Drosophila melanogaster: one gene and its partner. The protein of the gene in region 1 interacts with the protein of each later gene in a pairwise test. Each region holds a gene or a part of one and is shown in the gene's direction. Other genes may lie near its edges. The genes, in order: CG1552 and CG15136.

Region 1 (3,843 bases):
TTGCCCTCGCACTCTGCCGCACTGCTGAAAACTTATTTAACTTTTTACGATGTCATTTGGGGAAAGTTTGTAATCATTTTCGTTAGTGCATGCTTCAAAAATGGCAAGAGAAAAGAAGCCATGAAATTATTTATACGATTTTCAGACAGTTGAAAGTGTACGACCGAGTATAAATAAAGCCCTGCTGCCCGTCCCTTTACTTTCCATCCCTTTCAATCCGGAGTGGAATACGAAGTACCAAGCAGCTAGAGCCGGGGAAAACGCCAGTTTTCTTCAACTGCCAGTCGAAGTTTTCGAAAATGTTGTTTTCCACTTCTCCCGCGTTTACTCGCACTTTACGTTTTTTTTTTTTTCCTTTCATTTTAACTTGTGGATCTGCGCCAAAGTTTTGTAGTATTAGTGCGTGCAGCGATTCGAGGCGGCCGAGTTGCAACTTTTACTTTTCATCCCGCTGCAGTTTGTGGTCGTATCCTGCAGCTCAGCTCAGATGCAGTTCCAGTTATCCAGTTATCCAGTTACCGGTTCCCAGATGCCGCGGGCCAACTGCTGAAAGCAGCTGCCACAAAAAAAAAAAAAAAAATACTTTGGGGCTAATCCCAAGTCACAGTCCTCGTTGATAATTTCCGGAATGTGCCGCGAGCACATGTGGCCCAAGTAAGTGAAAGAAATCGAGGAAAGGGCAGCAGTTTTCTCACAGTCAGGTCTAGGAATATAACTCATGGTCAACAACACATAACCATATACATTGTTATCGGAATATGCCAACTTATATTATTTCCTTGAAATGCAAACCATTTTGATAATTGGGAAGGTATTTTGCTAGCTATTTTCATTACCGAACACAATACTTTCAATAGTTTTCCCTAGGAGTGACAAACAAAAAGCAGACGCAACTAAGACATTATTTTCTAATGCATCGTTGACGTTTTCCTTTTTGCACTTCTGCAGTTCTTGCGTCTTGCATGGGACAGCACAGGAAAAAAGCTTTTAAGCTACTTAAGGTTGTTGGCAGGACGATGTTGCCACAAGAAGCGAGTTGGGGATAAAGACCCAGCTAATGAGTTGACAGACCACGCCCCGCAAAATACAGTCGCAAAAAGGGAAAACAGGCAACGGAAATGGCTGGGGTCAGAGGGCAAAGGACATGGAACAGATGGTCCTCGAGTACTCGCATTTCCGAGAATGCAACGAGGAACATTCCTCGACAAATGGGTCAAAGTGAGGTCAACCCCACAATAAATCAGCAAAGGACTTGTTTATCAAAATAAATTCTACAGAAGCAGAAGATTGAAATAAACATGAACAGGTTGTTTTGGCAAAATATTACCAGATTTTAGTCTCCAAATTATATTGTTGATTTATACCATTTTTAGATACATTGCTTTTTTTTATCAATACTAATTTTATAATTTATAGCTTTGCTAATGATTTCAGGCATTTTGTGATCACTTTCAAAAACAATCACAGCCTAAAACAAACAGATCACCATTTCCATGGGCTATTGCTGTTCTAGTGGGTCACACAACTTGCACTTGACATTATTGCGATTGCTGGAAAACAAACGATTATTATGACAAACTGTTTGGGTCCAATCTGGGTTTGTTTTTCTCGTCGCACAGCATCGCCTCGCATGTACTTGGATTGGAACGGTTTGGATGTGACGGGATGGGATGGGATGGGATTGGCTTGGATCGGGGGCATTAATCATGGGCGAGAGCTTGGGGCATGGACATGGACATCGGCCTGGGCAAAACGCAAAATTTGCATTGCAATTTTATTCTTGATTTAATCAAGTGCCGTGGCACAAACGCCAATTTAACTACCCACACACTACCCTCACACATACACAAACGCTCACACACACCCAAACATCCGCAGGGCAATGAGAATGCCGTCAGACGTTGCGTATACGTAATGCTTTTGGTTTGTGTAGCATTATGGGATGGTGTGAGCTTAGCGCGTAGTTTGCACCCGCCAGCCGAGTCACCGAGATGTACCAGCTGGAGAAGATCTGGGTCCTGCTGTGCCTGGCCCTCGTCGGTGTCCTTGGCTTCGGCCAGTTCCACATGAAGCACTATCAGCTGCAGCGTAACTACAATACGCAGGAGGATTCCGGCGAGAATGACAATAGTGTGCTGCGTGAGTTTTCTTCTTCTTAGATTCCACTCGATACACAGAGGAAAAAAGTTGGTAACTTGCAAATATGGGCTGGCCATCTTGCTATTATGCATTTATTCTAGCAGTTTTTGAGTTTTTTGAATATTGATACGTTTATTTTTTTCCATGCAGGAACCTTTCGCCGCTGCATGTGGGAGCAGTCGAAGTTTCTGCCCCGCCGCCTCGTCCTTTTGAGCCTGTGCTCGAATCTCTTCTGCGAGAACAATCACATAATGCCCCGTTCCAGGTCTATTTTCGTAGTGGAAAAAATGTCTAGGCCGAATGAGTAGTTGACCAATGCAATTCTATATAGCTAAGCATGTGCACCCATGCCCACCCTAACCCAACCTAGCATGCCCTAGAAATCCACCCTCTCCCCCCATGAAATATCCCAAAAAAACGCCCGTTGAAGGGAACCTGAACTAATGCCCTGTCTCTCCCGCTGTTCTGTGTCTCCTCCAGCTGCCTGGACATCCTGCCCGAGCAATGCGAGCAGGGCGATGAGGAGGAGCTGATGTACAAGCCCTTCCCCGACTGCTGTCCGGTTTATTGCAACCTGAAGCGTCGGATGCAGCGCCTGCGCACCATGCACTTCCGGCACCGCCTGCTGCGCAACAAACAGGACGGCTCAGCGGGATCCGCTGGCGGTGGATCCGCTGGTGGCGACGGTCCCAATAACTCGCTCCTCAGTGAGTTTGTCTACAACAACTACTAGGATGACAGGATGGTTTTGCTCGGCAGGATGGCCAACTAGGACGACGCGACGAGGACAATCCAGCAAATCAAATTATTCTGCGATTTGTGAACCAACCGGTCAAAATGGACAAAAAAGGAAGTCGCGTCACCGCAACACTGAGCGGAAGTGGATCCAAAATCAAATTATTTGGATTGTGTTAATCTCAATATGTATGTAGGCTATAATTTAGATTGTAACATATATAAGCTGGTATTCATCAAACTGAGCACAAAAAAAAAAAAAAACACAATCAAATTGTTTCAATGTTAAACTAATGAGCAAAAGTTTTTAAGAACATATAATATAATATTATATATATTATGTTTCAAGTAACTAGCTGCTATCAATGTGAAATTAAGTTATAATTTACAAGTTGCTTAACGTTTTTGTGAAAGTAAACAATCAGATTTATTATGTTCTGGAGTTTAAGGTTCCCATTACGCACTTTTTCTCAGTGGAATCTCTCCAATATCCAATTGAAACTGTCACTCGTTTGGAATTCGTCTAGACAGGCTCTCGAAAGTCCAAGTTGATGGACTTTTTTCTATTGCTATTTTGAGGCCGTGACCAAGTAGCTGCAGCCCTTTTTTCCCAGGTTTCCTTCATTAGGGCTTTTTCGGAGTCTCAAGAGCTGTGCTCTGCCCAAACTGCGATTTCTTATTTTTTTTTTTTTTGGCCAAAGTGGGCGGTGAATTGTGGTGTGGTGTGGCGATATATCCTGCAGCAGTGCTTCCTGTTTCCGCTTATCGTTTTAACACTTTTATGGAGCAGATGCAGCTGCAGAGCTTCGGAGCTTCGTGCTGGTGCCTTTGTCTTCATTTTTATCTGCAAACAAGCAATAAATTTTATTTTAATAAGCAACACTTTTGATAGCCAGTGTCGAGCTGAAAGTTCCTTCTCCTTCTGCCACTCGTTCCCTTACCATCGCTTCCCTTCCTGTTTCTGCACTT
Region 2 (3,755 bases), on another chromosome or scaffold:
GATTTTATACATTCAAATTAGTTCGCTTTGCACGAGTGGCCCTCGAATGAGAGAGAGTACTGCTGTGATATTTCCCGACCACGGCTGACTGGCCAGGCAACCAAGCAACCCGTCGGAACACGGCACAACCGCTCCAATGCCACTACAGCATACATACATACACAAAGATATATGTATATACATATATATATGGAGGGGGTCCGGATTGGGGGGCTATCAAGTTGCCTGTGAAGTGCTTATCCTCAAATCAGTGACACTTGAATGTGCAGCCCATGTGACTGACCAAGTGGGTGACTGACTGACTGCTGAGCGACCAGAGCTGTCATCTTGGCTACTTTCCCTTCACAAATAATATAATGTAATATAATACAATTTAATATTATTCGTTTTTATATTAACGGTTTATATCTGAGGCATATTCTGACATGACTTCTTCATTCAAAGCTGAATAAAAGATATGATACGTTACTCCTTCAAGGGAAATACGCCAACACTGAGCAGCAACTTTACAAAAGTGCGAAGACTTCGTTTCATCTATTTACTTTGCCCTTCGACCACCGCTTGCCATTTGAATCTGAAACTGTCCAACAATTTGAGTGTTGTTTGTGTCCCTGATTGAGTAGCTAAATAAACTTTGGCCTTTTATTTAATTTAACGGATTTATGACTGTCGAAGATAATTGTCAAATGGCTTAATAGTGTTATTGAAACAGGAAGAACTACATGGTATTTTTTTACACAAAATGTATAGAATAAGAAGTCAAAAAAAAAAAAAACATCCCTTCAGAAACTAACAAATTAGTCGGACTAAACCTATAAGCTGAAAAACCTTGTCTATTCCACAAAATGGCCAATAAATTAGCGCAAGTAATTTGCGCAATTAACTAAAAACAGTTAAAACCGCTATTTGTTCGGTTAGCGAAATCGCTCGATACAGCAGCGCGAATGCAATGAATTGGCAATAAATTCTCGGTTCTCGGTTGAAACTTTCTCTAACCCCTTTCTCTTTATTTTATTCGATTGTGTGGGTGTGTCGGCAGAGTCAACTAATTTATGTTTTAACACACTCGCACATGCAAATTAGCACACACACAAAATGAATGCAAATATTGGGTTCCAAGGGGGCTGAAGCTGCCATAATGAGCTCAAGTTGGGCAAATGGCTGAATGGGTGAATGGGTCTGAGGTTTTCAGGCGTTCTTTGCGGTTCATCTGGCAACAACTGTTGACAAAATGAAATCAATAAATTTTAGCGCAAATCAATTAAAATACACCAGCCAGATTGAATTAGAGTGCTGGGTGCTTTTGGTCTTCTTCTTGTTGGCCAAACGAAAATATTTGTCAATTTGCGGTATTCACAAAATTAAATTTGACACACACGCACCAGCAAGATGGAATGTCAGGATGAGTTTTAGGCAATTTTATCTCACTTTGTGTGAAATTTGTTATAATTTATTTATACGGCTTATTAAAATTATTGTAAGTTCGGCCATTTAATTAAAAGTCAAACTTTATTTGCAACGAGAAAAGCGGAGCAAACATGACAGTTGAAAGTGGAATCAAATTTATGAAATCGAATTATGGCATGCATGGATTTGAAGCAGTTTTCGGGTTAAGCCCCAATAAGATGGATAAACCCATAAATCCTCAAAATAACAATCTAACAGAAATTGAATGGAGGTAAATAACCTTTGACATTTCAAAGAAATTACAAGGAATCGGGACAAAGGAGCATGGTTAACTTACTTTTTTTGAAATAGTTTTCTATTTAATTGAGTTGTACGTTCTGCAATCATAAATTGTGTATGTAAATAATAGTGTAGCTTTAATCGTAGTTGACTTTTCATTACTTATCCAATTAAATTTCAAAGGCCAAGCATTAAAAATAGTAGGAACACAAATTACTTCGTGAAGACAAACGTTGAGAGATAAACACCCTCATAGCAAAAATCGGCCAATACCAAAGTTTTGGCAAAATATTTTGGAAGCGGCTGTCTTTGGTCATTCATTAATATTTGGCACTGAATACCGGTAAGAAAATCAAATAATCAGGTAGTTTGCCCTGCCATAATTGTCAACTGAGCATTTAAGCAGAATAGAAAAGCTACTTGAAATCGTCCGGCCGGAACTCAAATGTAGATTTGAAAAACTATTCAAGTGTTAAGTGCTCTGCTGACCATGTTGAAGGACACCGCCACCGCATCGACCAGCGAACTTGCAGGGGAAGTGGGTGACGCCCATTCGACTCCTGGCAGCTGCCCTCCGCCCGCCGCGGGCGACACGCCCCCCGTCGTTAGCCGACCGCTGGACCGACGCCTAAACCCCAACGCACCTGTGTTTGTGCCCGACTTCAAGGCCAGCCAGGTGGCCAAAAAGCTATTTGATGAGTGTAAGTACGGAAAGGAAATAATGTTTATTTAAAACAATATATATTGTATTTTGAAGCCCTTTATATATATTATGCTTTGACTTGCATAGGTTTTTAGTATTGTGCATTTATTTATTTCTTTTTAATTTCCTGATGGATTTATAAATTTAATACCCATGCAGTATCTACGTACACCCGGTGGAGTACGGCAACCTCGGAGGACATATGCTACGAGCCCCGTTACGAGTCCATCTGGCGTGAGGCCAGCATCCAGCAGCAGCAGGGTCTGCGCCATCCGGGTTTCGTTTACAGCCTGGATCCTGGCGAGGAGGAGGTTGGCGAACTGGAGTTTGACGAAGTCCAGGCCATGAATATCGGAGCCGAGTCCTATGATCCCAAGCTAGGAAGCACATCAGTTAGCCAGGCAATGGAAGTTCGCGAAACTGTGGGTGATGTGGAGGAACCTTTAGATGAGGAAAAAAGGAATGGCTTTCAGAATCGCCACTCCGCCAGACCGGCCAAAAAGTGCTGTCTGGTCATGTAGGTCCCACGGAATGGCAAATTTATATATTTATTTTCCATTTGTTTTCACACCTACATGCAACTCAGTAAATTGCTTCCTTACTCTCTCAATTTGTGTATTTTTTTCCTATACCATAGGTGCTTATAAGGGATTTCCCTTTTAGTAAGTAATTACATTTTTTCTGAATTTAATACGCTTCCAGCGCGAAGAATTAAATTCTACAGGTATTTTCCAACGTCGTTGCAATTAAGACGCTTTTCAGAACTTTCTAAATGCACTCCTTTCAAGCCCACTTACGGCAGACTGGAAGAAAGGAAGCTCCGTGGAGAAAGGTCGACTATACCTATGACATAATTTATAGCCTACATTTTAGCGCCCTAAACGGGTTTGTTTTACTTTCCACGAAGGCTCTTGCCTTTCTGCCTTCAGCTACTTTGTCCTGACTTTCTAATGATGTTGAATATGCATGAAAACTTTTGCCGCACGCAGAATTCTCCTCGCTGGATGGCAGCTGAAAGCTTGATTCACCTGTCTATGGGTAGCATGGCAGCAGGACTGCCTTCAGATTTAACTACCACTGAAAATAGTACGGGCTTAAATAACTAATTTTTAAACTCAATAAAATAACATGTGGAATTTAAAAAACACCTTCACTTTCAAATACGAGTGGCTATGCAAATTAAATTTTCATTTAAACTAGCGTTTTTTTACTCGTCCAAATAAAGTTCGAACATTTTCTTAGACTGCACACTTTTGCATTGTCTGTTAGCAAAGTGGCGACAACTTTTCATTTTTTTCGTTTCTTGATTATTTTAGTTTTACTCAATTTTTGGATAAGGAAGGAAAACTCATAAGGCGTTTGGGTG

Evidence for each region.
Region 2: the proteins of CG1552 (region 1) and CG15136 interact in a two-hybrid assay, tested with the Drosophila melanogaster proteins (one large-scale study listed by BioGRID).

Annotation. Positions count from the first base shown.
Region 1 is NC_004354.4:11,051,634-11,055,476, reverse strand, and holds CG1552 (uncharacterized protein), read left to right. Parts: upstream 1-1,920; 5' UTR 1,921-1,991; coding exon 1,992-2,139; intron 2,140-2,289; coding exon 2,290-2,443; intron 2,444-2,619; coding exon 2,620-2,872; 3' UTR 2,873-3,306; downstream 3,307-3,843.
Region 2 is NT_033779.5:17,046,403-17,050,157, reverse strand, and holds CG15136 (uncharacterized protein), read left to right. Parts: upstream 1-1,876; 5' UTR 1,877-2,029; intron 2,030-2,089; exon of another isoform or gene 2,090-2,092; 5' UTR 2,093-2,176; coding exon 2,177-2,387; intron 2,388-2,548; coding exon 2,549-2,910; 3' UTR 2,911-2,997; downstream 2,998-3,755.